Mytilus edulis: one gene and its partner. The protein of the gene in region 1 interacts with the protein of each later gene in a pairwise test. Links are inferred from orthologs where the notes say so. Each region holds a gene or a part of one and is shown in the gene's direction. Other genes may lie near its edges. The genes, in order: neogenin-like and E3 ubiquitin-protein ligase TRIM9-like.

Evidence for each region.
Region 2: the proteins of neogenin-like (region 1) and E3 ubiquitin-protein ligase TRIM9-like interact in a two-hybrid assay, tested with the Caenorhabditis elegans proteins (2 studies listed by BioGRID). The link is inferred for Mytilus edulis from reciprocal best matches to the Caenorhabditis elegans genes unc-40 and madd-2.

The regions. Positions count from the first base shown.
Region 1 is NC_092354.1:43,717,774-43,735,552, reverse strand, and holds the start of neogenin-like, read left to right. Parts: upstream 1-10,630; 5' UTR 10,631-10,872; intron 10,873-17,779.
Region 2 is NC_092346.1:44,158,275-44,175,956, forward strand, and holds the start of E3 ubiquitin-protein ligase TRIM9-like, read left to right. Parts: upstream 1-9,585; 5' UTR 9,586-9,660; coding exon 9,661-10,437; intron 10,438-17,682. Other genes in the region: L-2-hydroxyglutarate dehydrogenase, mitochondrial-like, read right to left, coding at 304-435, 852-1,009, 1,631-1,792, 2,442-2,642, 5,926-6,057, 6,762-6,913, 7,283-7,410, 9,431-9,585.

The DNA.
Region 1 (17,779 bases):
GAAAGGCAAAAACGCGAAATGGTCTTAACCAGTCACCATATCATTGTCCTTGTTCTATGTTATGTTCGGCTGTTATTCATGTGTTTTCACGTAACTTTACTGTCTTAATACAGGAGAATTACCACAGCAGTGAGGTCTCGTCATACAATTAAAATGATGTAACGACTGTAGCAAGTCTACTGTTTGGTGGTAATTTTATTCATGTATGCTTCAAGTTTTAATCTTATAAACTATTTTTATGATTTCTATGCAAAACAAAATCGTCGAAAAGGATTTTTTTTCTTCCGAAATTGCACTGACTTTAATCGATTTTACTTCGCTCTAATCTTTTAAAAAGTTATTTATTCTTACTTTTACGGCTCGTATTAATTGTCCAAAAAATATACATTCTCCGGAGATAACAGTTGGTATTATGAAAATCGTCTATTTCGATTGCAAACCCAGAATTTTAACATTACTTCAGCTTGCATATCTGTATCTAGAATAGCTTCGGGTCAATGACAATAGAACTTTCCTTCAACAAAAGTTGTCATTATTAGCAAATCAGCGAACTAGCAAGCAAGCATGACTTCAAAAAGGTACTGTTACAGTGTCGTTTCAGTTTATCTTGCTAAATTCTTCAGAACCAAGTTCTTAGTCGAACCCCAATAATATCTGTTGCGATTATGACCAAATATATCTTCCAACTGACGAAAGGAGTAGGTCCGGTTAGGACCGATTTTGGTCCCAAATTTCAGGTTCATCTGACCAAGGAGGTTATATTATAATATAACCTCCTTGATCTGACGAAAGATTTTGACCATTTTCCAAACACTTTAGTGTCTATTTCCTTTGATTCAATTAATTTGTGTGAAAGATTTTAACTAATTAAGTCATTAAAAACGATCCGATTTATGAACAATCTACCAAATCTGCCGAAAAATGTCACTTGGTTTTTGTCAAAAATGAAAGTGGCCGCATCCGTGTTCATCCTCAACCTTTATATATGTTATGTATTATCATCAAATACAACTTACATTTCAATATTTAGGATGAACACGAATGCGGCCACTTTCGTTTTACACGGAAACCTTCTAAAATTTAACTAAATTGCTAGAATTGTGAAGATATCAGTAATTTAGCATGACTTAATGGTGCTAGTACCGGATATATGTGCATTATATTGTCAAAAACAGCCCATATTTATGTAGCAGAAGCATTCTACTGTCCAATAAATAACTAAAAGTTTACATTTTAACAATTTTGTAAAACTGCTATATTTTGGGGCCAAAAAGGGGTCTTACTGGACCTACTCCTTTCTTTTTCCAATCTTAAGAAGATATGATCCACGTTTCGATTTGATTTAGGTAAAATCTATCAATTACTCCTTGCATGCTTAAGCCGCTGTTTTTTTGTAAAAGTCTCTCATTGTCAAAAACAAACTATGGAGATTTTGATTTGCATTAATATAACATTAGGTTTTTTTCAGTACAGTTATACGATTGTATATGGTATGTAGTAGATATCCCCTGTTAAATAATTTTCCTTTCAGTTTTTTACAAACCAAAATGCTACTCACATATCAGAAATGAAAGGATTTAGCCAAATATATATACATCAGGGGCCTGGTTTTCGAAAGTATCATAAGATATGTCATAAGATATATCTTAGGACATATTTTATGATCATCTTATGACTATCATATGATATGTCATAGGATGTAAATCAAAGCTGTCTTAAGAGAGTCATAGCTATGATGCTCTTATGACTGTCTTAAGTGAACATTATTTTCTATTATTTTAAATAATGTTTTAAAAGTATAAAATATAAGAATGAAAATGTATGTATGAACATATTAGTTATTACTATTCTTAATATTTACGAATATTTTATTTTTTCATTATAATGAACCTGAAATTTTATACTAAAAGGAATTGAAATATGAGTTCATAATTTGTTTAAATTTAGTTTGTAATATATGTTTAATCTTGAACTTCGCTTTCGTGTATCATCATTATCATACATGCATTGTTATTTAACTGTGAATACTTTTTAGATTCGGTACATCGAGTACCCGCTTAACGAAATGCCCGCGCACATACGTAAATATAGTACTATTAAATATACAAGGAACGAAATAATATGATTATCTATTGTACAAAACCATAAGTTAGAAAATAATTCCAAATTGTATGTCGCAGGAGATTCAAATTTTAATTCACGTAGTAATAAACTCTTTACTATTTAGCTAACCGAGAAACGCAACACATATTTTTATTACAATTAATATGAAATTATGCCAAAAAAGTCATGAAAAGTAATTAAAATTTTAGCTGACAATCATAAGACTATCATAAGTCATGTCGCGAGAGGTCTTAAGTTTACGACAAAATTTATGACAAATCGTAACTTAGGACACTTTCGAAAACATATCTTACGACTATGACATGTCCTAAGACCATCATAAGACATGTCTTAGTCATAAGATACTTTCGAAAACCAGGCCCCAGGTCCTCTAAAATACAGCACACTTTGTAGGAAAACACGAGTTGTCATTCTTTGCATATACAAACCAGAACTGGAATAAAAGCTTAGCATATATATTCGTAGTGAAATCGGCCATCATATATTACTATAAGGAACTAAGGTTCGAACTTCCTCAGGTAAGCTATAGTCTTTTTGTGTCCTTTGAACATATTGCTCCTAACGTTTCTATACATGTAGAACTCGGAGGTGCGATGGGGACGCTGAAGTGCGATGGTCACGCTGAAGTGCGATGGTCCACGCCGAAGTGCGATGGTCCTTTCGCTGAGGTGCGATGGTTTACATGACGTTTGGATATTGCGATGTTTTCAAATACAACATGAATCCGCATGCAGGATGATAGGTTTGTAGATGAAGGTTTATGAGCAATTCATGTGGAGGCAAATCATGGGGCGCAAAGCGGCTGAAAGATGAACTTGATCAGCAAATGGGCTTAACATTGTTCAGAATTATGCCGCAAACTTTTCGAACGATAAATAAAGTATTTTGATCTAAAAATTAATTTTGATTTATCTTTAAGTAAGCTTCACATGATTTTATGTAGACAATTTGATAAAGAAAAAAAAATAATAAACTGCTAGAACATGTATTAGCAATGCTTTTGTCATATGAAGTTGATATTATGTTGTTTTATTTCAAAGATAAATCCTGACTTGTAAGAACACATTCGCTGCAGTCTTATTTTATTTTGGTTACAGTGTCAATTGTAACATGCCAAAATAACATGAATGGTCCCTATATATACGTGTACTTCCCAATTTAGCGTTCTCAACTAAGTTTGAAAACTGTGAAATAATTAACAAGTCTCGCTATTATTTAGTCAAGCATTAATGTATTTGGCGGTGTTTTTTTTAACTTCGTGGACACTTTTCCGACATCAGGTATATGTAAATTGATGAATAATTGTTGTGAGCAATTTCTAAGTTTTGTCATAACATTTGATATAATGAGATGGACCCTGCTTAGTACTATTATATAGACCTACACGTTCATTATCTTTTTTATTTTGCCCTTCGACACCATATATTTTCTGAACCCCTACTTCTGTTTTTCCTGATACTTAATAGTGTTAAATTTTAATATGATTATTTTGTTAAAGCGTCGAAAAAACAAAAAAAAATGTTACCGCTTTGAGTGAAAAATATTTCTTACTTAGATAAGAATTCACCCCCCCCCCCCCCCTTTTTGGAAGTTAAATGGTACATTTTTTTTTTTGTATTTAATTTCAGCAGCCCATGTCTATTTTGCTGTTATACTCCATGGAACAGACAGACCATCGCACTTCAGCGTAACCCCCATCGAACTTCAGCGTAGCTATCAACAAAGTTAACGTCACAATACCACCATCGCACTTCAGCGTGTAAAACCATCGCACCTCAGCGTGCACCATCGCACCTCAGCGTGCACCATCGCACTTCAGCATGACCATCGCGGTTCGGAGAACCATCGCGGTTCCGAGTCCTAATAATTGTTATTTACTAGTTTTACTTTAATAAATCCATAAAATCTACATATGAGCTAACAAAACCTTTAAACAGACTTATAGGGATATAGTTACGATACTGTTGTCATGTCATTAGAGATTGGCTTTCTTAGTATGGATAGTAAAATTGGGATTTTTCTCTGAGTCGATTAAATCACTCGAAACTAGGTGAGACATGCACAGAAGTGATAGATATGTAGTATAAATATAGAAAATTGAATATTTTATTCAACAACAAAAAAAGTTATATCTACATCATGTACCCAAGCGCCTACATGTGATCATATATTTCATGATGGTATAATACTAAACCCCTAACAGGAGGGATTGTGTCTGATATTCATATGATGAAGACATAATCTTTCTCACTTGAGGCAGGCGCAAAATTGCGGCGGAATTTAACATGATTTTTTAGATCTCAAACCTCCCCTTTAAACCTCTAGCCTATGTAGAAAAGAAAGAAAAAAAACGCACAACAATACGCACAGTAAAAATCGTTTTAAAGAAGTAGGAATCCGATGTCAGAATCATGCCAACAACTGGTTTTAGAGTTAATGTGTTTAATTCTGATGCAAAGACCCTATAAGTGAATCAATATTACAGCCAAAATATGCAATCTTTAATGACATGGCAACCGTATCGTAACTATATCCCTTTCTAATAAATCGGTTTAAAGGTTTTGTTATATATAGTTCCGTTATATTGTCAAAAATGTGGGCAACCGAAACAAACATAGCTTAATGTCACACTCATCCATGCATAAGGTGCTTAGTTTGAAATTGCTTAGATTATGTCCATGGGTCTGGTAATATGAAACTCTTAAATGGTTCCTCTAGTGCAGTGCCCTCTCTTAATATTCTTATTATACGTAATCAGGATAACAGGAATAACCAAAAGTTTTAAATAATGATATAAAAGACCACACAATGCAAAACCAACACCCGTCCGAACCAGGTTGGTTATCACAATATAGATCTCTGATTTCGTTTTACTGATATACATGATACGATAGATCGATATCAGATTCCCGGTCCGTACAAACTTATTTGGTATGGATGAAGACCGTACGGTGACCTATATATATATATATATAGTTGTTAACTTCTGTGTCATTCAGTTGTTCCCTTGTGGAAAATTGTGTCATTGACAAACATACCAAATTTTCCTATTTTTATATTCGCATACAAACGTATACATACCATTACGATCAGAACATGATGCAAATGTAGTTAAAGGCACACCATGTGGTGGTGGTGGTGGTGGTAAAAAGGGGGGTAAACGCAGTTTTACGTGTTTAAATACCCCTCCCTTTGTCTCTCTATAAATACAAAAACTTTATCGTTTTTTTTTTATATATACGGTAAATTTTAACCCCTCAAAAAACAATTCAGCAAACAATTTAACTTTAAGTAATTAAAATAAATACGTAAGTTTTATGTTAGGACATATATACGTAAATATAAAAAAGAAGATGTGGTATGATTGCCAATGAGACAACTCTCCACAAGAGACCAGAATGACACAGAAATTAACAACTACATGTCACCGTAAACCCACCTAAGTATAGGTATAACAGTGTTCAGTTCTTTAGTATTATAAGTGTTAAAATATTGGAGAGAGATATCGAACTTTTACCCCTCCGTCAGTTCACTTTTCAAAGCTTGATAGAGTGTCCAATGGTATATTAAACTTGCGACCCCACAGTACACATTTATTAAGTACATATTTTCATATATTGTTAAAGCCACTCAATGTTGATTATCATTTCACAGCGGTAATTATCAAATAAACTAAAACTGCATCTTCGTAGCAGGTTTACAGAGTGATGATTCACATCATTATCACTATCCTGAGATTGAAATTGAAATCAAAACTAATTTTTATTCTGCTTACTGGAGTCGATCAGCCTGGAGATAAAGCAATGATGAGAGAACGGCACGCGCATTAGCACGTTCGAGTAAAAGGTTATCAATATATTCGGCTAATTTGACACGCAGTATTACTTGATTATACGTTAGCTATGTCAACAATTCATCTCGTTAACTGTTTAATGAAATATAACCAATCAGACACACCATCTTTACGATATGTTTAGTAGACTTGATGTCTTTAAGCTTTAATTTGAATGCAACACATATACGTGCACGGAGGATGCATTGGGTATTGTGTTTTCCAGGGAAGATGTGCAAGTATTATAATCTAAAGATACGTGCATGGGGTGATGCATTGTGTATTGTGTTTTCCAGAAGGGATTTGTGAATATTCGAATCCTTAGATATCTGCATGGGTGATGCATTTTGTATTGTGTTTTCCAGAGGGGAGTTGCAAGTATTCTATATGCTAGTAGTCTGTTGTTATTTATGTATTATTGTCATTTTGTTTATTTTCTTTGGTTACATCTTCTGACATCAGACTCGGACTTCTCTTGAACGGAATTTTAATGTACGTATTGTTATGCGTTTACTTTTCTACATTGGCTAGAGGTATAGGGGGAGGGTTGAGATCTCACAAACATGTTTAACCCCGCCGCATTTTTGCGCCTGTCCCAAGTCAGGAGCCTCTGGCCTTTGTTAGTCTTGTATTATTTTAATTTTAGTTTCTTGTGTACAATTTGGAAATTAGTATGGCGTTCATTATCACTGAACTAGTATATATTTGTTGAGGGGCCAGTTGAAGGACTCCTCCGGGTGCGGGAATTTCTCGCTACATTGAAGACCTGTTGGTGACCTTCTGTTGTTTTTTTTTTTCTATGGTCGGGTTGTTGTCTCTTTGGCACATTCCCCATTTCCATTCTCAATTTTAATCAATATAGTGAAACAGTAACTGCTAAGTGAGAAACACACGTATTCTTTGGAGGGTTTACACATTGATATAAAAAAAGGACATTTGGTTGATAGTGTTGCCAATGAAAACAACTATTCAACACAGTTTAATAAAGTGGATGTAAGCAATTATAAGCAATCGTACGGCCTTCAACAATGAGTAAAATACATATACCAAATAGTCGTTTTTGAAAGGCCCTGACATGAAAAATATAAAACAATTTAAACTAGAAAAGTAACGGTCTTATTTATAAAAAAAAACATTTTACGAAAACTAAATATGGCAGACAAGAGCCAACATCAACTACTGAACTACAGACTCCTTACTTTGGACATGCACATCGAATGCGTCGAGGTTAAACATGTTTAAAAGCGCCAATCCTCTCCAAACCTGGCACAGTGGTGTAGCATTAGCGATCAACATAAGAACAAACTATACAATTCAATAAAATTAAGTGCTTAACTCATCAAATCGATACAAAGCAGGAAAAAAACATCTAACAAAAACACAGACCTGGTTTGGGTATATTATTGACAAAAAATACAAACAAAGAATAAGCAGCATGTTAGTTATAAATTCCATGTCACGTGTCGCATGTTCCTATACTTGCATGCAGTGTTGAAAATAATTGTTCTTTTAACAAAATGCTAAATTGTATCAATTAACTTTTACAGTGATTACTGCTCTCTCTTTATCACATCTTACTGATACAATCAAACTCTAGGAAATCTTTTTCTTCAATAAGCTTATTTCGGAAATAAGTTACTATAATATCTTATCTTCCTTTTGCACTTGGTTGGTACTTATATATGTAAGCTTGTCCATCAGTTAATACAGCCGCGATGTTTTTTGGTGATACCCGCGACATCGATGGTCTGTGACTGATTTCGTGTACATCTATGTCCTGGAAACTGTATGTCAATATATATGTTCCTGCTATGTCCTATACTATTATATAAAAGTTGAAATCTTTGATTCATCGTTTTAGGTCATGCCGGCTAACAAATTGGACCTCGTTATTTTATAGTAGTATAGATATTTCAGAAATAGCTATTATATCTTATCTTCCTTGTACAGAGGTTGATACTTATGTAAGCTTGTCCATCAGACAACTAAGCTCTGATGTTTTTGATGATTAGTATTTACTTTATTTGTTTACTTTTACTAAGGTTATAGGAAATCGAACCTTATTTGACAACACTGATGTACGAGATGTCTACATCTCGATCCGATACAGACAAAATGCACTATAGGTTAAAAATTGGAAAACACTGTTATTCAATAATCTACTTTATCTTATGGGTAGTTGTTGTTTGAAAACGCCAACCCTCTCTAAACCTTGGGCATTGGTGTAACAGTACAAAATCACGAAGAACAAACTATATACAAACCAGTTAAAAAGATTTATCTCATCAAATCGATATAAAGCAGAAAAAAAAAAATTTAAAAAAAACACAGACTAGACGTGGTAAGATATTGACAACAACAACAAAACACAAACAAAGCATAAGCAGGTTGGTAGTTCAAAATTCCATGTCACGTGTTGTATGTTCCTACCAGCATGCAGTGTTGAAATTACTGATTCTCTCCATTAAATGCAAAATTGTAAAATTATCTTTTATAATGACTACTGCTCTCGCTGCTCTCTAATACACTCCATGTTTAGTAGTTGCATATTGTTGGCGGCCGACCATTGTTGACGTGGTTCGTACATGCATGTTTCTCTATTTTTTTATATAGATAAGGCCGTTGGTTTTCCCGTTTGCATGGTCTCCTCATATATTATTCGTGTTTCTCTGTCCTATATGTTCTCCGATTCATTTTTATTGTAGTCCTGTCATGTAATAATGTTGTAATTTTAATGTTATATTTAACATTGCCATTAAAACGGGGGGTGGGGGTGGCTATCCACAAAACCAAGTTCAACCCACCATTTTCTTAAAATGTCCTGTACCAAGTCAGGAACAAGCATGGCCATTGTTATATAAAAGTTCGTTTCTGTGTGTGTTAAATTTTGGTGTTGTGTTTCTGTTGTGCCGTAGTTCTATATTTGATGTGTCTCCCTCAGTTTTAGTTTGTAACCACTAAGTCATTGTTGGGGCTGTTCGGTGTGACTTAAGGATCCGTTTTGAAGACCGTATATATACTTTGACATATAATGGTTCACTTTTATAAATTGTGAATTGGATGGAGATCTGCCTCATTCTCATTGGCACTCAAACCACACCTTCTTATATCTACTAACCTTATTACGGATATAACTATCAGTTTGCACTTTGTTGATACTTATGTATAAGCTTGTCCATCAGCCAACAAGGCTTCAATGTTTTTGGTGGTACCCGCGACATCGTCTCAGACAGATTTAAGGACCCATGTCTTAAACCATGTAGTTATATATACAGTTGAATTCTTTAATTCGTCTTTTTACGTCATGCTATATAGCTAACAAATTGGACCTCGTTATTTTAGTAGTATAGATATTTCGTAAAACGCTATAATATCTTATCTTGTTTGTGGACATTGTTGATACTGATGAAAGCTTGTCCATCAGTCAACCAAGCTTAGATGTTTTTGGATGATTGGTATTTACTTTATATATATGTTCACTTTTACTAAGGTTATATAATGGAAATCGAACCATGTTTGACAACACTGGAGTAAGAGTTGTCTACATACCTATCTGATACAGACAAAATGCATCATGGGTTCAAAAGTGGAAAACTTCAATAACAATGCTATTGAATAATGTACTATGGGTAGTTGTGGCATTTTATAAAAGGTATACTTCATTAGTCCACTGCATGGTCAAGACTAAAAAGAGTGATCCAATATCGCAAAGCTATCCCAGTGGTTAATGACAAATACAGTAATACTGATTAGGTTAAAACAACCAATATACAGTATACAAGAATACAATGTATAATTCGAATGTGCAGGAACATATATAGACATACTGGTATATATGGTAAATTGATTGCTTAGCTCGGGGAGACGCCATGATAAAAGGATAAACACTAAATTCATAATAGGCCCTGACGTAGCGGGGTTAAACGTGCATATATTTGCAGGGCCCAGTGGCGGATCCATTGGTTCCGGGGGTGCGCACCCCCCCTTTATTTTTGCCGATCAATGCATTTGTATCGGGACATATGTTTTGCACCCCCCCCTTTTGCCCTGGGTTAGCACCCCCCTTTCGAAAATTCCTGCATCCGCCCCTGGGGCCTAAACATCATAAAAAAAATCAGTTAGAAAGGTATCGACTATCGAATCGTAACAAAGCAAGTAAAACAAACAACGACAACAACAACAAAAAAACAACGAAGAACAGCTCTGAGAGAACAAGTTGAAAGCCAATAGCAACTTATATATATAAATTTAAGTATTTATTTTCCAGATTTATTCCTCAAATTTTACACCTATAATTCTCTGCTATATTTTTGTCTTTAAAAGGGGGGCTTTCAGTTTTTTGTCTTTTCATTAACTTGTTTGACCATCCAAGGATGTGATCATTCAAGACCCTCGTAACATCATAATATTGTATTACATCTCCGTCAGAGCCTAAAAAGAGAGGAATTATAGATCATATCAACTCTTATTATGCATTTAAAATAATAAAAAAAATAAATATCAAAGGATTGCATATTTACTGTTTTGCCATAAATGACATCAAGGATTTGTATATATAGTATTACTATACAAATCCTCATGTTTTCTTGCGAGTTTTTAAACAAGTGCGCGAAAAAGCGACATCTGTATATATGCAAATGAGTTCCTTATATGGCGGACTTCACCTTTCACCCAATCGTTCTCATTGTGAAAGAAACCAACATGGCGTACGGGTAAAGAAAGGCTTCTCATTGGAATTTTAACTGTTTTTAGTTCATTAAGAGTCGTAAATTGGAGCTTTATTGTGTTTAAGAATCATATTTCATAACTTTATCAGAGAAGAAGCAAAGAATTTGCTCTACAAGTTTGGATACGCTGTGTGATTAGGTTAAACTTTTTGTTATTGTGTTGTCGAACTTCAGAAAGAGATTTGAAAGGTTTGTTTTAAGTTTCACATTAAGATTTCTTAAAGAAGACATACATATCTGTAAATTTAACAGTATGATAATTTTTTTAAACTAACCAGATTGAAAATAGTACGTTAGCATGAGGAGTTGTCTGTTAATTATAATTTTGAAAAGAAGTTTGAAAGTCTGTCTCGAAAAACTAATTTCAAACTTGATGACGGCAAGGTAGTGCTATAAATCACCGTAAATTGCTACTTTAAAAGGCAAACAAATCATTTTATTTTAGTAGACATCCAGGTGTACATGTTTAATAGTTGATAAAATGTGACAGCTAAAATCTCTCTAAAAAAGAGGTCCATGTACATTTTGTAAGCGTGGGAAATACAGATTTATAAATACAGTAACATGTCCTTTTCCTAGTCCAAATAATTATAACGTCTTGGAGAGCTATTTTAATTTTTGCTTTGCTTTGATGCTTTCCCGGGATGTAAGGCTTCAAAGATAAAAAAATATCGGGTCGCCCAAGTTATTATCCCGATACCCCCATATCATCCTGGGTATCTTCCTGTCTCCCTTATGTACATGTAGGCCCAAGTGGAAGCAGGACAAATTGCCCTACACCAAATCGCCCCACTTGTGAAAAATGATGAATCCATGGCAAATCACCCCACAGACAAATGGTCCCACTTTTTCACCAACTCACTCCACTTTTAAAATAATTATATATAATCACCCCACTCTTGTTTTCCAAGTCAACGCACTTTTGTAGAGGGTTCAAATCCCGCAGAAATAATTATCAGGTAAGCCAACTTGTCCCACTCATGACAAATAGATATAAACCACTATGAAAATGAAAACAGATGCATATATATGTTCCTGTCCTATTCAACAGTGGCGTCACCTCTGGCTAGTTTATTTCTTTTTGCTATACATGTACTAATGCCAAAACTTTTATTGTCCTCCTAAAATATTTGCCACTGTATGTTATAAGTAACCTAACAATCAACCAATCAATCTAGTAATCATTGCTAACATAAAATAGATTGAAGTACATGTACCATGTAATGCACGACAAAAATGTACCAGGGAACATTTTCTCCCACTGTTTTAAAGCAGCATCATGGGAATGGAAGTATGCAAGAAATTTCGAAGGCAAGTCCAGTGACTCTTCATTATTGGCCATGGCAATTTTATCAGTGAGACAATGAAATTTAAGTGTTACATAATTTATTATTTTAGGAGTAGTCACCATGATAAAATAGCTATACATGTATAATATAGAGCAAGGATGATATCAAGTTTTAGTTATTGGTAAACTTTTGTTTAAAAAATGTTTATAAATTGTGCTTTTCAATTCTGATGTACATTTAAAAAAAAAAAGGCCAGATAGATCTTCCAGAGTCCAGAATTCATGGACTTGTCTTAGTAAGAATTCTGAGTACATGTAAAAAAAATATGAAGCATTATATGCTTGATTTTAAGTTATGTACCTGTACAAATGTAGCATGAGTTTTAAAGAACATGTTAAAATATGTATATAACATCTATTCAAATAGCACCATACCATGCTGCTTCCTGCTTAAACATGTTAAAGCTCTGGTTGTGTCTGCATATTTAAATGTGAATTAGGCATTGCATTGATATGATAGTTATTAGTCCCGACCCCCCTACTGACAAGTCGAAGGGGACTTTAGGTTTACACTGTCTGTATGTCAGTCTGTTTTCAAATCAGTTTTCTGGACTTTCTTTCTTTATGCTTAAAGATATTGATTTGAAATTTGGTATATTGTTTTTATCATGACAAGTTACAGCTCAAGTTCAATTTTTGATGAAATTATAACTAATTAAAATTTTTAGTTTATATACATAACAGACTATTATTTGGACTTGTAATTATTTTTAATTATGGAATTTGCTTGATTTCTTTGTTATTGAAATTTTCAATAAATTCCACGTTTATTCTGTACTGAAATATTCTGTCATGCGCATAACACTTTCTATTACAAAGAAAATAGTATTTTTCAATAGAATGTACTGTGCTGCGCACAACACTATCTAACCAAAATACATTGTGTGGAAAGTGTTATTTACTGTCGAAAGATCATAATGCCAAATATAACATGGAATTTATGAAAAATTTTAAACACAAGAAATTATGCAAATTCCATAATTAAAAATAATTCCAAGTTCAAATAACAGCCTGTTACATGTACAATGTATATATTGTATTTGTATACATGTATGTAATAACTTCAAATCTGAGCCTCTAAAATAAACAAAAAATTCTCCCAAATGAGAACCTCTTATATTAGATCTGTTGAATGTAATTTAGTATACAAGAAAAACCGTATTTAACATTCTCCCAAGAGACATGATTATTTTGTACTTCAATGCAAGGCAAGTCTTATTGGAAAGAATGTCATTTTAACATGCCTTAATAGTAAGGAGATTCTATAGCGTAATTCCATGTTTGTGCAATATGAATAATTGATAGATAATCAAGCTTTCATAAAAGACGATTTTGCAGTTGGTGCCTAAGAGACTAATCAAATTTTAATTGATTCAGTTTTATAAGAAGTACATCTTGTATTTCTCACTTAAAGATTATTGTAAATAAAGTGGTATAAATGTAGTTAAAAGTATAAGATGGTTGTATTGAAAAGGAAACAGCGAAAGTTTAGTAACCAGTGGTGGGGTGGACAAGTTTTTAACCTTTAAACAGTAACATGTTTTAGGAAGTCGGAGAGAAACACAGGGAATCATTTGAATTACTTCCATTTACTGTGATTCCATCCATTTGTGATTGGGGAAAAAAGACTTTAATTTTAAGTGAATCAGAATTGTATTTTATGCACCACATGCAGAATGAGCTTTGCCCATTGTTAAAGTTGTTTGGGAACCCACATGTTGTATTTTGGCTATCATCTGTCTGGCGAGTAGTCGTCTCTGACATTGGCAGTGATACTACCGTCAGGGGCCGATCCAGCCATTTTAAAAAGGGGGGTTCCAACTATATGTCCCCATTCAAATGCATTGATCGTCCAAAAAAGAAGTGGGGGGTTCCAACCCCTAGAACCCTCCTCCTGGCCCCTGGATCCGCCAGGCCACACTTAAAAATATTTTGGTTTGCCTAAACCCTACCCAAAGGTTGAGACAGTGGGTAGGTAGGTAGGCAATTTTTTTAAAAAGAAATTGAAGTATCAGATGTTTATTAACTAGTCTTCATGCCTATTTGATTAAAAAAAACCTTCTTCAAATCAGGACAATAAAAGAATTTGAGTAGGCAGCTTTTTTCTGGGAAGGTAGCGTTTGGGCAAACAAACCTATTATTTATTATGGCCCCACTGACCTTACCTTGATTTATACTTTGTGTTTTCCTAATTAAAATTTGTTAATGTACATAATGTTGCTGTTTATATTACTGGTCATGCTGGTGTTTTATGATATTTACTGTAAATTCAGAAATTATTGCATGCATTTATTAATGTGATTTTGCCATTTTAACCTAAAATGCGATTTTAATTTTTACTTTTACTGTTTTGAGAAAAATGCTGTTTAATTCATATAGAATATTTCAAAATGCGAGATTAAATTATTGCGTTTGCAACTCTGTCGCATTTTCACAATAATAAAAACCTCACAATAATTAATTAATTGATAGTACCATATAAAGGTTGGACTGTACATGTACAATGTATGTAGTCTGACTGTAGACTAATTTTAAGGTCTCCTTTAATTTTGAAAAATTGACCCTAAAAGATTTTCTGACTCGGATTAAAAACCATAACCCCCTTTAAGTTGAATGGTTGCTCCTTTATATACATGTAAAATTCATGTGCAAAAGAACAAGTGAATCTGAAGCTTTAAAAATTCCTGAAATTGGCAACAGGAAGTAAAATATGTTTAAAACCGGACCACAATCAATTTTCAAATAAATTGCACTTGAACAAGGTCTATCTTTCCACAGACCAATAAATTACAGAATTATTGTATAATAAGCAGGCAGAAATGTCAATATTTAGAAATACAAGTCAATTGTCTTGTGTCAATATTTACATGATAAGGGATATAAAACTCATTGATCTTTAGATTGGGTTTATAGTGATTCCCTGCAAGTTTCTCCTGTAGGGTGTTTGTCATTACTGTAATTACACTAATTGGTTTATGGTAATGATCTGACTGTGTCAATCCAGGCATTAAATGTGATGTAATATATAGTTTGAGAGACCTTTAATTATTATTAGATTGAAGAAATAGATGGGGTGCTAGAAATTTAAGACTGTTCGGTGCCATAATACAAATAGATGAGGTGCTAAAAATTTAAGACTGTTTGGTGCCATAATACAAATACACATGTTGTCTACATGCACTCTTTGTTCTTCAGTCTAGAATGTTTTAACAAGCCTGGTAAAAGCAACTTTGATTATATCTGCAATTCATATATTAATTTGATTAATTTGTATTAAATTGTTAAGTTATGATTAATTTAGTTTAAAGGTGTTTTCAAAGACCGTTTCAGGTGAAAATTGAAGAAACAATAGCTAGCTACATTGTAGCTGGACTGTAACGTTTGAAACATTGTAAAGATTTCTTTTATTTTTACTATTGATGCAGAACTCTAGCTTTTAGATAGCTTGTTGCCATTCAGACTTTAAATGATATTCTGTCTGGTCAATATTCTGTTGTTCTTTTCAACTTTTGTTGCAATTCTTACAGTGCCTTTTGATCTTTTACCATTTAGCTTTTTGATGTTTTAAATGTTTTAATTAACAGCATACAAGACAATGCAATCAAACAGTTTATTGATAGAGATCAGTGAAGCAGATTTTGTGTCTATTTTTAGGAGTTTTGGGCATATTACAATTACCCTTGTCTGTTTTAGTAATTTACATGGAGTAATTATATTTATTGGGATGTTTTACAACTTAGTTCAGGTAGTACAACAGAAGTGAACCTGTTAATGTTTCAGATTGCTGTCTATACAAACAGCCTTGTGGTTACAAGAGGCTGCATTTGGCAGTGTAAAGAGTACAGTAAATTATCTCTGTGTGTATTACATTGTACATTTACAGGGCCTCCTAAAATTACATTATACATTTACAGGGCCTCCTAAAATTCCTGTTAGTATAATCCACCATAGCTCAGTGTATATTAGACCAAATAATCTGTCTCTTGTGTGGGAACATTTGTCATTTCATATTTTATTTTCATCATTTGGCTATTTAAATTATTTTTTTGTGTCACACGGTGTGAAAAAAAATTAAATTGAAAAATTAAATAGCGAAATGATGAAAAGAAAATATGAAATGACAAATGTACCCACACAAGAGACACATTATTCGGTCTAAGTGTATATATACGTTGAAAGTTCATGTTTATCTCTGTTTGTCGTCCCCCCCCCCCCTTTTCAGATTTTTTTTTTTAGCGAATCACTGAGGTGTTACAGGAGCGGGCCCCTTCTGAGGCAGCCAGTGGACCTGCCCCCACTTATGAAAATTTCTACATCTGCCACTGGTCACATGTAAATATATATAATATATATATATCAGTTTGAAATTTTGAAAATTAAAAAGGCATGGGGTATTTTTTTCTGTTGATTCAAATGCACATTGTCACTCTTGTGTACATTGTTATCTTTGAAATTTGAATTTATTTTCTTAATCAAACATATGTAATGGGTTTTGAAAATGTTGAATTAAAAATTCCAAAAATAAGAATCCTTGAAGCAAATTATACCAGAGATGTATCCTGACATGCATTGCCATTCAAATTAGAATGTCAATTTCTTTAACAAATTTACATGTATCAATTACATGCAATGATATGTTAGATGACTTAATGATTTTAGGTCTGACTGGAATATATTATGAGGCCCCTCATGGGGGGGTCCTAGTAATCACATAATCACCATTTTTTTGCCAATATAATCACATAATCATTAAATATTTGCTTATCTTTAGTAATCAAATTATCATAAACTAAAAATACAGTCCTAGGTAATCAAATAATCATGAAATATTTGGCTTAATAATCAAATAATCATTAAAAAAACGGCCAAGTAATCACATAATCAAAAACCCCATGAGGGCCCTCTATTATAAAGATATCTCATCAAAGTCTAAGGTGGAACAAAGATGTTGTTCTGCATATTTAAAGTAAGATGTTGACCCTAACAAGTTCGATATTAAAGAAATAGCTTATTTATTGGACCATTTACATGTAAATCTGTTCAATTAGTCAGTGAAAAGAATGTGACAAAGTGTAAACAGATTATTAAATTTGTATATTACACATTTTATTGCCTGAAGGCATTTTTGGCTTAATTTCGAATTTGTTGGTCTTATAAAAAATTCATAATTGAATGACTAACCTAATGTGTTTTTGTGAGTCAGTCGTTGTAATATGGATTATGAAAATTAAAGCAACCCTATAAAAAGATTTTTCACTTATGGGACCAGAAACATTTACATGTAAAACCCGTGTGGCATGCATCAATAGACTTGGTCAATTTGGCAGGTGATTTTTTTTGTTTTAATATTTTTTTTTACAAATTCTATTTTCTTTAATAACGGTACATTCAGATCGATAATAAGTGGTACTAGATGTTTATATTAGGGTGAACACATTTTTATGTGTCTTCATGTATAAAAGTATAAAAGTATTTTAATTATATATTTATATAAACTTGGTTTTTGCTTTAACATGAGGACTGTCATTCCCAATGTTGCCAGACATTGGTCCACGTCCAGAAAAAATATGTTTGGTCCAATTAAGTGACAATGCATTAATTACATGTACTTGACCAAAAGACCAGTATAATTTTTAACTTTGTCCAAATCATAAGAGTAAATGACCAGTCCAGTTAAGAATTTGTCTTAATAGAATGAAAAGCCAGGGGCTGATCCAAAGGGGTGGTTCTCAGGGTTGGAACCCCCCA
Region 2 (17,682 bases), on another chromosome or scaffold:
GACGACGACGACGGACGCCGGACGCCAAGTGATGAGAAAAGCTCACTTGGCCCTTCGGGCCAGGTGAGCTAATAAAAAGGGAAGAATAGATAAAAGTATGAGATTATTGATTCCATCATCACCATTGGAAAAGAGCATGTGTCTGCTGATCAAAACTGTCATAACAAAAATAACACGTTCCAACCTTAGATCTTAGCTGCAACTTCAAAAGCTTGTTTTATGAAACTTTGAATACCGATACTAATTATACAATTGGTTCATATTTTCACATAATATTTTAAGATTTTTAAATCATATGTTTACCTGATGACATCTTCTCTGGCAAGTTCTGGTACATATCTCTGTAACTGTTTCACTGTGGCACCAATATAAAACCCACGATACATTTCTTTTAGACCGAAAGCTAAATTTTTAAATGCAAGCTTTCTCAAACCTCTGAAATAAGATGGAATGAATACAATAAAATAAAATTAATAAATATTTTTGTATTATATTCATTAATACATGACAGGTCTACTACATACAATCAAGGAAAGAAGTAACTTACTTAATACAAATAATTATATTTCTTGGAACGAAGGAGTCTTTCTGTAATTCTTCAAATGAGGAAGATTGTGTCATTTTAACAAACCCATATTGTCACTTAAAATTTTCTGGAAAACATACAATCTTTAATATGGAAATAGTTAAGCTTTATATGTTTTGCCATCATGACTTTTGTTTTGTTTTTAATTATTTTTTTCCTCAATTCAAGAAATATTGTCTTGTCTGTCTCTTTTTAAATGTTTAAATGGTGTTTTCTTATTTCAATTTGATATTTTTTTAACATTTCTTGTCTTGTAAATACCTACCTAAAACTTAAAGCATCAAATGTATCTTTCAAATTAAAATCTGTTAAATTATATCCTTCTCGTTTAAATGACAACACAGCATTTGGACCTAACCACACATCTCCATTCATTCTAGGTGTATAATGGACTCCAAGGAAAGGAAATCTGGGGTCTGGTACCTAAAAATTAAGATTATTGATAAGTAATATAAAAAGAAATAACAAAAAACATCATCTACTAAATCTGTTCTAGAAATGAATGTACATGTATATGTTTTGTAGTATTTTAGGGTTTAAAAGTGTTGAATATAGAACATTTTTATACAAAGACTAACAGACATTCCATTTGCCTAATTTATTTCTTATAAATAAATTTGGTGTATTTACTGTCTTCTGATTGGTTAAAAGTATTACTTTTATTTTCAATGTTGTCAATTTTTATGGCGACCACTCACTCTGACGTTGTGTATTCATACGTCAACATGTGTGTACATTGTTATTGTTAATATAAATAATATAAAAAGTTCTTTGAGCCTTATTTTTGATAGAAATTTATTTATAATGAAAACCAATAACTAATAAATAAACTCACATTTTACATAATCTGCTTAGTGGATTATTCAATGTGAAGAGTCAAAAATTAATTTTATGGTTCAATAAATTTAAAATAAATAATAGCCATTCATTAATTAACAGCATTTCCTACTTATTTTCATAAAAAACAATATTTCTAATTAAAAGTAACATTGAAATAATATTAAGACATATAGATATTCATAATGTTAGAATTAATTTACATACAGGATATATATTGCCTCTAACAAGATCACATTTTTCGTGTTTCAGTAAAAGGTAATCTCCCCTGAATGGGACTATTCTCGGTTCTCTATTACACCCTGACAGCTCTGCCAGTCTGTCGGAATGTAGTCCTCCACATGTCACCACATATCTACACTGCACAGCCTAAAAATTATATACAAATTTGTAATTTAAATAAAATAAAACTGTAGATGCAGGGAAATTAATTATCACTTTTGATATTACAGTAAGATTTTTGTTTGACTATTTACATCATATGAAATCAGAGATCATTCAAAAATATATGTATGAACACCAAATTTTTAGACATGCTTCAATTATTCCAGGGATAAATTTTGAAAATCTTTTGATCGAGTGTTTTTAATAAAAATACTCAAAATGTGCATTAGGTCCCATGAATAAGAATATTTTAAAAGTTTCTTTTTTTAAGTGTTTTTCACAAGGTAGTAATTGTGCCTTTTTCTCAATGATATCTTGAAGACTGTTCATTTCTTAAAACTTATAAAGTCTTTCCTGAAATCTACAATTCTTATGTATTTACCTAAATTTAATATTTCATTTAGGCTTTTCGTTAATTATTGTGATCACATTTGTATACTGCAGTCCTAAAATGTTCTGTCCATGAAATAATTGCTGCAGTCTCTTTTCTTACTATTGTAGTGGTGATTCCTTATTTGTGAATATCAAAATGATAGTTATAAAATTAATACAAATCATTCTGCATACTAAACATAAGAAATCAGAAATAACATAAAAATTCTAAAAAAATATGAAGTCTATTTTATATACTTACTTGGTTGTCTCCCCTTACAGTAACAGGATGTTTTATGCCACTTGATGATTCTGGTGAACTTTCCTTTGTAACATCCAACGATTTCACTTCGAAGTTAGTATAGATTTTTCCACCAGCTTTCTCAAATGTTCGACCATAAGATCTTGTTACTTCTGCATAATCAATGATCCCTGTATGAGGAGAGTGTATGGCTTTCAATCCCTAAAAAATATATCTCATTTAATAGGTTTTAACAATACTTAATGCAATGTCCAATATTTCATAGAAAACATTTCTTTTTATACAGAATTAGAATTGCCAGGTGAGTGTGGCTATTACACAATACCATAGCTAAGAAATTTTGAGTAAAATGGTGTTTCCCCTTTGTTTATTTGTGTAGCCCTCCAATCTTAATAGAGAGGGATAGGACCTTTATCAGGACTCCCGAGATGTGGTGTTTTTAAGCTCAGGATTTCGGGATCCAGAATTATTTTTTTTGAATTTCAAGATGTTGGGATTTAAATTCGGGACCTCGGTATTTCATGTTTTAAAGCCTGGGATTTCAGGATCTGAAACCCTCCTACCACCACTTTAATATAAAGAGGATGCTGTTATTACTCTCAATGTAAATCAAATTATCGTCTCATTAATATTAAAATGCAAATTCAATTGAAAAGATGGGCTTTCTATGAAATGCCAAGTTTTTAACATTCTAGCACAAATTTCTCCTTTCTGCTGGTAGCAATCAGTCTTTATTTCTTTAATCTGCGTAATGATATATATTATGGGAATATATTTCGTTATCTTTCAGTTTTTGTGTTAGCTGATAAATGATTTGGAATTACATTAATCTATCAAATGTTGAAATTTTTATACATCATCAGGGATCTCCATGGCCTGTTTAACGATGGAGCCCCGCCATCGTTCAAATGTCTTGCGCCATCGTCAAATGACTCGCGCCATCGTTAAATTGTCTTGCGCCATCGTTAAATTGTCTTCCGCCATCGTTCAAAACTTCATCGTTTTTTGTAGCCCGACGCCATTTTTTTATCAATTATAATCAAATGCATGTAATTGCATAACCCTTAGGCTTTTTATGTTATAATCCAATACAGTTCTAACGCCTGAGGGATATCCGGATTAAGATCGCTAATTACTTGTACCTGAGCTTGTACAGGTAGATCAACAAACCAGACAGGAGAATACTATCTGAGGATAGACGATCCATTTGTCGAAGTAATCAACTAAGTTTCAGCAAATGATTATGATCATTTAGATTAAATAAATAAATTAATAAATTAATCCAGTTACAAAGAAAGCAGTTTAACAAGTCGAACACGTGCTTTATTTTGAATTACGCAATCAGCATCCCCCTTTTTTAACCCTTAGACTGCTACGCGCGACTATTGTCGTTCCGATAAGACAGTCCGCTACTGCTACTCGCGACTATAGTCGTTTTCCGTAACTCGTTTGTTTACACAGTTACCATGGAATGGGCGGAGTCAATATTCATGAGATTGCGGCAGTTTCGACTTGTATGGATTCTGATTGGTTAAAAATCTGCGTTCTTTCGAATGTCTCTTGACTTTTAATGAGGTATAAGCGATAAACCGAAAGTGAAAATTTTTGATGAAAAAAGTGACAAAATGGCGGACATTATTTGGAGAAATGGCCAACACGTTCAGAAGTATTTCAATGATAACGATTCAACAGCGGCAGCCGATTAAAATGATTTGAACGAGAACCGAAGATATAATAGACAGAAATAGAAACATTCTATCAAAACTGCAAACAGGAGACTTTTAAAGCGAGAATTACGGGGATTCCCAGACCTTGTTCAAAATGGATGACATGAAACGGGATTTGCGATGTTTATCATTTCGCCTTTCAAATGTGAATCAATATTGACTCACATCAATAGACCCGAACTTTAAGTTTGTCAAGATTATATATTGATGAAAGCTTTAACAATGAACTTGTCGTATAAATATATTTGTACATGGAAGTAAAAGTCGGCGCAGTGAAAGTTGGAGGGAAATACCGGAAAATATTTGCATAAAAAAGGCCGTTGGTCTGAGAAGAAACTTTTATTTTTTGATAATCACAATGGAACTTAGTTCTTAAAAGAGATTTTTAACTATATTGGTTCAGTTCTGAAGTCATGGATACTTTTACATTGATGGATTCCTTAATAAAACATGAAAACATAAGTTTACCTTTGTTTTCCTCTATTCACACCTGTACAGGTAAAAAATGACCAGAGACTCACACAAAAATAAAATAAATAAAAAATACAGAATCTAACAATACTTTATTATATAACTTTTATTGATGAATATTCAATATTTACAAAGATACAGCAATTGTAAGTGAACATGTTTATTTCATCAGTGATTAAAATTTTACTCAGCATTACACAAAAGTACAATAGAAATCAATGCAGCAGTCTAAGGGTTAAGAAGTACAAAATAAGACGCAAAACAGTAAATATTATTTCATCGCAAATAACTCGAGTACTGCTGTAACGATAATTTAGAATTACTTTAAAAGTTTAAATGTGAAAACTTTTATATTTCCTGTAAAGAAATATTGTATCTAAATTCCGAATTCATTTCGTATATTACAATCAAATTGATACATCCGCGTTTCCGGTTTCTATTCAGACTCGAAAGATGCATGTTGCACAGCATCAATTTTTCCAGATAAAGTCATTAAAAACCTTTTCATTTGTCAACGTTTGCTTTACAAATCTCTTTAACCTTTTACATAACCCGTACAAATTGTTTTGTTATTGCTGCAAATCAGCCATACCGGTAATGGGCTCTGAATTTGACAGTGTCCACGAAAAATAAGCTCCACATCAGATGATTTTTAACCCCCATAACAATTACCAAAAATAAAAGAAATCTGCATGGGGACCTTCATGACAGCTTTTGGTCATTCTCGACTAAGGGGGGACCATGAAGACTTGGCATTTGAATGGTTAAAAACGGCAATAAATGAAAATATTGATACTTCTAATTCTATAATGAAAATTCAAATAAATATAATTTAAATAAGCAATGAATTAGCATGTTCACCATTCCTTGTATGGAGGGATAAAATACTTCCGATCGCGCTACACTGTACAGCGTAGACAAGGTTTGTAATGGTGAAAGTTCCTCCATGGTTCAATTTTCATCCATGGAGATCCCTGCATCATCATGATTATTGCGATACATGTGGGGTTAAAGTTTCATGGTTTTGTTTCTAAATTGATGTTATGTGGATTACTTTTCAATTGTAGGTTTAAAATTTGCTTAGTGTTTAGTTTAGTTGATATTGTTACAGCTAGTATTAACTACATGTAGATCAATTTAATTAAATCATGGGCATAACAAAGATACAATGTAAATGCATGCACAGTTTCCTTGGTATTCAATGATCAAGCTCCTGCTGGAACCCTACATTAAATGCATCATCTTTTGCATTAACCTTTCAAAAAAAATTTGATCATTATACTCACTACACTGTTTGGTTCATATTCTTGTATTTCATGGGATTCAACCATCTTTAAATCCTTGACCCCATTTTCAATCCCTCTTTTCAATAAGCCCTCAAGTCTTGGGATTTCTTCTGGTGTGACTGCCACAATCAGCTAATAATATAAATTACAACAAAATTTATCATTTTAAGGTAGGAGTTAAAAATTCATACATCTATTCTTATCTTTAGCACTTAGTTTTGGATAATATATGTAGATAGATAGATATATACTTTATTCTCTTAAAAACTAGATACAAGTTTACAGAGAAACATACAATATAAATACAGACACAATAGTTAAGAATCTAAGAATGTAAGAATCTCAAATGCATTTAACTTTGATCAAGTTCAAAATTTAAAAATATTTTGGTAAAAGCAAGGATATGTATAGTAAAATATACAAATCCTTGGTAAAAGTTTGTCTATTTTTTTAGTTGTTAGGTTGTTCTTTCATTCATGTATCCTTTAACTCAGTCATTTATATATTTGAAGCTAACATATATCTGTAAATGCCTTCTCCTTTCACAGTAAATGATGAATGTGCAGTTTTGCAAATTAGAGTTTGAGTGATGGAGTCTGGGCATTCCCTGTCTTGTATTTCAAAAACATTAAATTTTGTATATTTCATTTACCTAATTATAAAAGTCACCCTTTAATTTTTTTTCTGCAACGCATATGCTCCAAAGCAGATCTTTGAGTAAAATACAATAGATATAACATATATTCTCACCCAGTATAAGCCATTATAAGCCAAAATTAAAACCTTGCAATTGCAATAATTTCTGAATGTTCAGCAGATATAAAAGAGTTACCCACCTTACCACACTTCTTGTATGGAACATTATTTTCATCACAGTATTTATATAGAAGTTCTACCCCCTCAACACATAGCTTGGCCTTCAGACTACCAGGTGTATAGTATATACCAGCATGTATCACTCCACTGTTATGTCCACTCTGGTGAGGGGCTACAATATATCAAAACAATATGAAATTGCTCGACTGTATGTAAATTCATAATTGAAGGAAGAACACTGATAGGTTAGAAGATCTTTAATAGTCAAATAAAAGAATGCGCTTTGGGGTCATGATCCACTAAAGCACTTCTAGAGGTTAGCAACTGTTGAAATATCTGATAAAGAAAATTTCCCTTCTGGAGCACCTGAGATTCCCACTGTTATTTTGTTGTTTTTTGCCATGGCATTGTTAGTTTGTTTTTGACTTATGAGCTTAGATATCCCTTTGGTATCTTTCACCTGTCTTTGACATTTTTGGATATATCTGATATAGAAGGTTTAAAGGATGGTACCAGTAAAAGTAGGTAGTAAATAACTTACATATTTTGGATTCCTTTTCCAGGACCGCAACTGACAAATTTGGATGACGTACCAGTATTTCTCTTGCTGTTGCCATACCAACAATACCACCTCCAACAATAACAATGTCATAACTGTCTTGTGTGGAACTGAATAAATAAAACAGTACAGTCATTTCAAAAATACTACAGATATTTTAATTCTCATTTTTATTTAAAAAAAAAAGTAGCCTTAAATAGCTACAAAATGTATAGTGTATCAAAGAGGTTATCTAACATGCATAAAGGTCTTCAAATATATAATAGACTTCCTGTCTGTTAACTTCTTTAGACCTATCATAGATTGAATCCTAATTTGGCATAATAGATTTTCAAAGAGTTCAAACAATTGTACTAAGATCGAAGATTGTTATTATTATTCAACAAGAATTAGTGAATATAGCTAATACCACCTATAGTATAGTATTAAAGGGCAACATACTTTAACATTCAATATAATGCTATAAAGGATTAGAACTGGTTGCCAAATTATAAAATAGAGTAACAAAAAATTCTTGAATCTCAAATCTTTTCAGACAAAGGAAAGCAATGATTTTACTAGCATTTTTTTTTATTGGATGCTTGAGTGTTCTAGTCAACTTCATCGTCATTTACAAATGTATAATTTACTAAGCATAAATACAGGTAGTAAAAAATCCACCAAAGTCATGATTTCTAATAACAATAATATTTATAAAATGGACCATAAATGGATCTCATTGAAAAAGGCAGAGAGGCTTTCATGGGCAATACAGATTAGGTACACATGTATTAACAATTGCTTTGTATTATTTTTGCAATGCTTAAGTTGATATTTAATCAAATAAATTCATATATCTAAAATATATACAAAAGGTTTATGAAAAATATAAATAATGTCAGAAATGCTTGCATGATTGATTTAGTTAGAGTTTCACTCCATTGTCTTAATTATAAGCAAAACCTAGTAAGCTAAGTCTGGACAGCAATGTCTATCTTTTAATCACATTGTAATCTAAAAAATCTAATCATTATTTATTCACACTCAAATGGTCGACATATTTATATTCAATGTATATGTGTATACCACAAATTATTCGGTCTATTAAACAGGATAAAATGCTAAAATATTTACATCATAATTTACAGTTGAAAGTCATCTACATGTATCATGTCTATATGGTATACACAAATGTTTCAGTTTAAATTCAAAAAAAAATTTGGAGGAAGGGGGTTGGGGGTGTTAAAACAGTGTAATTAAAAAAAAAGACACTAAAAAGTCATTACAGGACTGAAGTGCCATAAAAGTTTAAACTATAACCAATTGTGTTGAATTTTTATAAACCAACTAATGATCAACTGCAATTAAAAAACTTTTCTAAAAAATCTTGTATTAATTTATAGTATATATGTATCAAATTTCTTGTCGCTTAAAATTTACTTTTTTTTTCTTGTCACTTTCAAAAAGGAAGACTGGAGCTTGCAGGAGGGTAGTGATGCCCTTTAACGTCAGGTGTCAAACAGTCATTTTCGGCTACTGTTAGCATCAAATTGCCATTATTGGTTTAAATTTTATTGTGATTCGTCAAAATATCCTTATCGTGAATTATCTTTACCATCATTTTTGGAAAAAAATTAATGTGATTCATCAAAATCTATCATTGTTATTAATGTCTTAAACTGTATATTTTATCGTCATTCACCAAACATTAAAGTTTACGTCATTTGGCAAGAATTTTTACCGTTATTCGTCATGAAGGTACCCCCATTATGACCCTCTTGCAGGCATCATAGCCAAACAAAAAAAAAAGCCTTTCAAGACATAACTATTGTTGGACCAACACTGGAAATGCCTGTCCTTCATCAGCTCACTGATATAAAACATATTTTAATTGTTATGTTGTTTAGGGAGCAACAATCATGATTTTTGTTGTTGAACTGATTCTTTTGATTGCAAAACAATTACTGAAACAAAGATGAAAGGTCAATTCAGCAACATTTACATAAGGCCTTATTTATCAGTTGGGTTGTCTTTCTTTACACTCTTGTCCTACACGGTTCCTTGTACTTATGAACATTTTTTGTTGGTATTTAGTTCTGTCACACCAACATGTTATGTGCATCACATTTGCAACTGAAAATAAGAACAAACCTTGATGAAAAACGATGATTTGTAAAATCAGTAATCTGTGGGTTTAAATATTGTATTGAGACATGCTGTCTTTTCTTACAAACTGGTAAAAGATTGAAAAGTTTTCTGGTGATCCTGGAGGCTGCCATTGTTGTTGTTATTTTCTCTCGCAACATCTCGTGACCCACGAGACAACAGTTGATAACAACCGCTTCCTTTGAAACGGCTTTGCACTTCATACAGGTGCGATTATGGATGAGGAACTAAAATGTCCTGAGTGTAGAAAATTTTATTCAAAGCCCGTCTTTTTCCCATGTTCTCACTCTGTTTGTTTAGAGTGTGCTGGAAATATGCAGGAGTCTTCACAGGAATTTATGTCTCAATTTGAGGATAGTTCTTTGTTACAAATTTTAGGGGATACCGATCTTCTTAAAGATTATGATAAATTAAGTTTAGTTAGTGAAACTGACAGTGGAGTTGTATGTAATAGTAGACCTAGTAGCTACATTGGAAGTGGAAATATTTTACCCTCAGTGCAGGGAAGTTCTTATATTGTGAGGTGTCCTGTATGTAAAAAACCTGTATTTTTAGATGAAAGTGGATATAAATCTCTACCTAAAAATACTATTCTTGAGGCTATTGTGGAAAAATATTGCAATGAATGTAAACAATTACAAAATCATACAAGTAAATGTCAAATGTGTGAACAAACTGATAATTCTGAAGCTAAAGATGCATGTAGTATGTGTGAACAATGTGAAATATTTTATTGTGATACATGTAAAGATGTTTGCCACCCTTCGAGGGGACCTTTGGCAAAACATAATATGGTGGGACCAATTCAAGGGAGAGCTATATTACGGGCCAAAAATAAAGCAAGTGAGGCAAAATGTATAGAACATGAAGAAGAGCATTTAAGCATGTATTGTTTATTTTGTAAACTGCCTGTTTGTTATGTCTGTCGACAAGAGGGACGTCATGTTGATCATGATGTCCAGGCCCTTGGGGTTATGTCAAAAACTCACAAGGTAAGAGAAACATAAGTAAAAACATCCTTTAAGTCATGTAAACTACACATTAACAGAACATAAATGTCAAGATATAAGTATCCAGCATGTGTTTCTTGTTTGTAAACAACTTCATTTTTGAAGTGATACACAGATTTTCTTTTCTTTTTTGATAAACAATTTATAAATTTATTGTTTGCCATAAATCATTGTAGAATTTTAAGAAGTATTATTTACAAAGGTCCCACATGGTTATCATGACAAAAACACAATAAATTGAGAAAATAATTGGTACATGTATAATGTAAATATATTGTTGTAGATTTAAAATTAAACCAATTTAAAGCCAATATTTAACAAAAATAAAGGGTTATTATACATTGTTTATATAGACATGTATATATATATATATATATATACATTATATATATACATGACTGTGTTATTTTGTATTTAACAATAGATTACACAGTTACTTTAAAAAACACAAAGAAATTTCAAGTTTAAATTATATTTCTATTTGAACAATATATTAATAAAGCCACAAAAATTCTTTGTAGATACATTGTATACATTGTAAGCCTGAAAAATTATATAAATTTTTCAAATTTATTAAAAGACTCAAACAGAATACTCTGCAATGAATTCAGGAATTTATGTAATTCTAAATCAATAAATTCTTCATAATATTATTCATTGATGTCAAATCTATTTCATACATGCAAAATCGTTTATGAATTAAGTGTTAATTGTTATTTGCTATGAAACAGCATGAGTTGTGAATTCTGACACAAGTATCTGTTAATTTAAAATAAGCAAACTGTCAACATACACAGTAGGCATCATGTGATCCTAATTAAGCCTACTTTGTGATAATGCTGACGATAATTAAGATAAATATTTTCATCTCTATATATATATAATGTGCACAATAAATTCTATTAAAACAAAAGCTTTCCCTATAATTAACATTACATTACGAGGATTTTGTCTCTGTTATGTACAGTTTGCATTTTTGTAAGATTATTAGTAATTATATTAAAGCTGGTAGGTGTCACTGAAAATTATAGGGTTTTACTGCTTTTTAACAGCATTTCTGTCGATAAAATTTGAATTTTCAACATTTCATAACTTCCATTTAAGAATTGAAGATAAAAGTAAAACTGAACATTCAATTTAATTTGTTTTCTTGTGTGGGAAAATTTTATCCTATTTCTTCAGTTTAAAGAATACTTATTCATGAAGGGCAATTTGAAAAGAAATTCAATTCATAAAGAAAAGAATAAAATGAAGATTATCGTAAACCACATTAGAAAATTCCTTTATCACATTTTCTGTCATGGTCCATTGGATGGGTTTGAAAAATTCTGACCAGCAGTGACCATTATCTATTATCATCTGATAAATTACATCCATTATTCAACATGCGTATTGAGTCTATTGACATGTCACATTAAACCCATATCTTGCAAATATGCAAATTATTCAAATTTGACGAATTAATTTGTAATTTGATAGTATGATAACTAGTGAAGCGAAGATTAAATTCCCAGTAGATGATGACCATAACAACAAAGAAAGAAATTGAACTATCAAAATGAAAAATGATGGGCTTCAGCAAACTTTCTCACATATATTAATCTATGACAAAAGACAAACACTAGCTAATGTTACGATAACGTCAATTTTCTCACAAATATTAATCTGTGACAAAAGATGTACACCAGCCGATGTAACGATAACGTCATTTACAATCACTGGCGACTGAGGTCTCGTCAATTTTAAGATGTTTAATCAAAATCGATTCACATGGTTTTGGGTTTTGAATGTTCAAACAAGTTTAGTGTAATACTTAAGGATGTGTACACAATGAGTCATTGTTTATAGTAGCTTAAAATTGCATTTAAATTTGTAAATAGAAAATCAGGAATCAATGAGCAGTCATAATCACATGAATTTTTTATAAGTTATTAGCTGGTGACACATTGTTTCATTTGATATTTGATATTTTGAGGTTAAGTGGATCATCTCTGCATAGTGTTATCTGTTAATAGCGGTGGTAGCTCTTTAATGCAGTTAGCTTCTGCATCAACACCTTTTTCAGTGATGATTAACGAGATTACTGATATTTTATTAGATTTCTTGACTTTGAATCTTTGCAAAGCTTTTAAGTCTCTAATATCTTGGATTAAAGTTTAATTATTAATGCAACTGTTTAGTCATGTTAGTTATTGTTATTTGAACTTTGAAAGTTATATATTTTTTTAAAAGATTAGGGTAAGAGCTTCAAATTATACATTGTATAACAGTCATATAGGATTGACTTTTGTTTTGTTTAAATACTTTTTTTTACGTAGCAGTTTATGAAATGTATATAGTGTTCAGATTTTTGTCAAAATACAATAAAACTGCTTTAAAAGATATGAAAAAAGATGATTGACTAAATTTATGACATGGTTTTTACCGTTATTGTTAAATTCAAAAAGACAGGTACATTTTTTAAGAAAAAACACCTGTGCACTTAACCAGCTCACCTGTGAAAACCTCCAATGTCAAAGAACAGGAAATGCCCTCTTTGTAAAGATATTACTTTACCTAAAACAAATTTAATAAACCTTGGATAAAAGTGGAAATAGAATGTAAATCTTCTGACAACTAATTTTGGTTTGATATTATGATCTCAATACCTCAAGTACAGCTATCTTAAATCAAAATCTTATCAGAATTTAATTTCTTGAACAAATATTAATTTCCCAAACTTATATAATATAAATTTAGTTAAGATGATAACGTGGTGTTTATGATAATTTAAAAATGTGAAACACATTGTTATACTGTAGGCAATTACTTGCTATCTTTTAATTTGCTAAAATGAAAAGTGCTGCACTCACATTATCTTTTATAAAGTGTTACATTGTAGATAAGAATTGAATGTGCATGGCAGGCATTTTTCATACTACAACGTAAATTTGAGGTGTCCTTGGGAAGATTTAATCCATCTGGGGAATATACTTTGCCTTGTTGCAAAATTGCAGTTTAGGCCCCTGTCAGTTTTTGCTTTGTTTTGAAAGCCTCACTCTTACTTGGAGATGGAGAACAGCAATAAGAGGGTAAAAACCAAATTGTTTCTTCAAGGTGAAAAAACAGCAATATAAGACATTATAAGCTCTGTTCCTTGATGATGAGTCTTGGACACTTTTGATTAGGACTTATCAAAGTACATTTTTGTAACTTCAAATTTACGATTGGTAAAAGGCTGCGAATCATCTTTGGTCTCAAAAAAGGGTTCTTGACTTCATAGCAAATATCCCTTTGTGATATTTAAGTCAAGGTCACTTTGTCAGACTATTTTGTGTAGCAATTGCCTTATTGCACAACGCCGTACATGTTGATGGTCAGTTTTAAGAGGTCAGCATGGCACAGCCATACAATGTATTTATAGTGTTTAGTTGCTGTTTTAAACGGTCCTGTGTCTTTCAATTCCATTCACCCTTCTTCATCAGCATATAATCTCTGAAGTACAAAAAAATGTATGGATCTAGTATTGAAAAAGTGATATATATTTCTATTTTCTTGTCTATCAAATTGTCGTATTTGTAATCATATACATTGTACATTGATATGAAACAGAATTTTCACCTAACAAGCTTGACATTCTTCCTTACAACTAACATGACTAATTGGCGACTGCTATATATCTGATGTAAACGTAATACCTAAGCTTAACAAAGGACAATTCTAGTTACAAGCAGTGACTTTAAATTCTAGGTTACGCCTTCTGTAACTTAACTCTCTTTTACACCTTCAAATGTAAAAATGTACCATTGCCGACAATGTAAGAATTAAAAACTCATTCTAGTCATTAGAATAACTCATTTGTTACTGATTTTCTTTTGTATACAAACATTTTGTACGGTATTTTAGCTTCTGTAATATTCATTAACATTACGATTGCATTACATTTTCTTTCAGTTCTTTTATTTAGTTAACTTTACTTTGAATTTTAAAGAGAAAAAGGAAAGAGGTTTATTTGAACTCTTTTAAGCGGTTTTGGTGTACATGGTCTATGTGAAAGTTTTAATTTCGCTAAGAAAATTGTTAAATAAGCAGATATGTTAAGGGTACAAGTATAATATATCAGTTAGAAATGAAAGTTTTTTCATGTCATTCAGGTTTTCTATTCAATGTAAAGTTGTTTTTTCTTATCATTAACGGTATTAATTCAGTACTATAAAAGTTGTTGATCTAAGTGCTATTTACACTACATTTGTATGTTGTGTTTTGTCCACAATCTTGAAACAAAATCTTGATATTATACATTGGATTTTGATTAAATTTCTTCAAAAGATTTCTTGATGTTGTATAACATGAGTTTGCCACAATCTTTCCACATTGAATACATAAAAGTGTAGCATCCTTAAATCTCTGGCAGTGGCAGGTGGCAGATCCAGAACTTTTCATAAACAGTGGCGGATCCAGGAATTTTCATAAGTGGGGGCCCAATGACTTCCTAAGAGGGGGCCCACTCCTGCCACGCTTCAGTGATTCTCTATATAAGCAACCAAATTTTTCCCAAAAAGGGGGGCCTTGGCCCTCTGGCCCCCCCTAAATCCGCCTCTGATAAAAGGGGGGGAGCACTCCAGTCATGCTTCAGTGATTCCCTATTTAATTAACCAAATTTTTCACCTCCACCCTGGATCCACCTACATTTGTATGTCTAGTTGTACATTTTGTGTTTGCACACTTACAGTTGAAGTCTGAATTTGAAACAGGATTTCCTTTTGAAGATTTTTTTATATATGAAATTTTCTGATCCTTTGTCAATTTCTCTCACCAAAAGCAAAATACTTATTTTGAATCTTGCTGCTAAATGCAAAATTATGAAATTAAACATGTAAGTGATCTTTAATGTATCCTCAAATAGTTTCATAAAGTGTTAGAAATAAGCAGCTGTCTACATTGTAATCACATACCAATATACATGTAGAAGCAACCAGTGACCTTCACCTCCATTTATTTATTTTGTACATGTACACTTAATTTCATTTTTAAGACAAATAATACTCTTTGAACAGAAGTAAAGAAAATATAACATCACATTTGTTCTGTCATAGAAGTACTGGTGGTCCATAATCAGAACAGGAAGTTGATAAATGTCTCTTGGTTACAATACATTATTTTCTTTGTCTAGTTCTAGGCAGTAGTATATATTTTATTGTAAGACATAAAAGTTCGTTACATAATAACAATACTAGATGATGTGTTAGTCCAGACGAGTTATAATGAAATCTCAGCTGTCAGATCTTAATATAATTGTCAATGATGTATAATGTATATATTCTCAGTAATTATTTGCCATTTCTGGTATATTTGAAGCAGTCATACAATTCAGCTGATGATAAATTTCTAATGGTAATAATGTTTATAACATTATTGGTCTTGGAATTTCCAGATCAAATTGATGATTCTTGCATGTTATTACTCTCAATTTTATTCTGTTATCAAAGTCATTTTCTGATTTGCTTTTTTGACAGAAAACCCATATAATGTCTCTCCTATCTTCATGATCTTAGGGTGAACATTTAGTTTATGTAATTGCTTTGATCTTTTAAAGTGCAGAATCAACCTAAAAAATTGCTTTATCATTTGACTTATATTTCATGTATTTGGAATAGTAATTTATACTTTTAAATTTTTAGTCTTTTCTGATGTTTCTCTAAAACTTTTATTTTATTTTTTTAAATCTTATTTTTTCTATGCTTTTTTGCTTTCACTAGGTTTATTAATCAGACCCATGTAGGTAAATGATACTGGCCATGGTAATAATTAATTATTATTTACAATGTATATATTTCTATGATGAGTTTGACTGACAAGTGTTTTGGTGATGTAAATTGCAAGGTGTTGAGGGAATTTCTAGATTTACAATATCATCTGAAATAGCCAATAATTACTTATCAAGATGGACAGCTGGTCAGCTGCATATTGTAGGTGTAGGAAAAATATATCAATAAGTATTTGATTGCCCCTGATGATTTTTGTCTTGCATCTCTACATATTAGTTCCAATATTTTCCATCAATTGTAACTTTGTAAGTCTTCTGTTAAAATTTGAATAAGACAATAAGTTATACATGTATAAGAATATTGCAAACTTCTTAATACAATGTATTATATTCTTAATATTTAAGGCCGCCTTTTTATATAGTATTCTAAGAAATCTATTGATTTTTTCCTCTTTGAACAGTATTTTTGTTTTTTCACCAAATTTTTCATCATTTTCTCCGTTTTGTTTTGTTTTTTTTAAAAACAGCACATGAGCTCGAGTTTAAACTGTATTTTCATGCAAATCAATGAATCTTACATTTTGTAAACTATTACCTAAAGCTGTTATTATCATTCAGAATAAATTGTAGTGTGATTGAAGTACATTATTGAATCGGTTGGTTATTGAAATTAGCAATATGTCTCTATATTGTCAACAATTTATATGTCTATCCCCTGGTGAATTTTAACTATACAATCACTCAAAGCTTTTCTAATATTTCCATAAAACTATCTGGATATGAGTGCCATGAATAGAAAATTTAGACAACAGAGAATACCAAGTAATGTCAAAGCATACTTATTATTGTTACTGATGTCTATAGGGTAATGTCATGGACTGTTCCTCAATTTGTCTTGTCATTTGTAGAGATATACATAGAAAATCTTTGTATAGTCATTTTATCTACAAGACAAGATATCAAAGGCAACTTTATGCTGAAGTATTTAATTAAAGGTTTGGCTTTACTCAATTTAAAGAAATATTTGTTTTGAAGTTGTTAAAATTTGAGAAATACTTAAATTGGAAAAGAAATCTGCACAGTAATTTAATTTTAAAATGTAAAGTGATGCTATTGAATTCAAATTGTAAATTAAACATGTATGCAGCATTGAAAGGTGTCATGTTTTGAAGTAAAGTCAAGCTCAAGGATAAGCATCAATCTTGAACTCAATATAAATGAGAATTGAATAGGACTTTTAAAAATACTTAACATGTTTAATGCAATAGAAGTATTAAATTATGTAAGAGATGTTTTAACATTTTGTACTTTTAAATTTGAATTAATCACTTTTAATATTTACAGTATTATGAACTATTAAGTGTGATTAGAGCTGAGATTTTAGACATTGCAAGCTGAAATATGTTTAAAAATACAATGTAGTAAGGGGCATCAATAAATAATAATTAAACTACTAGGGGTTGTTTAAGGACCTTGAATAC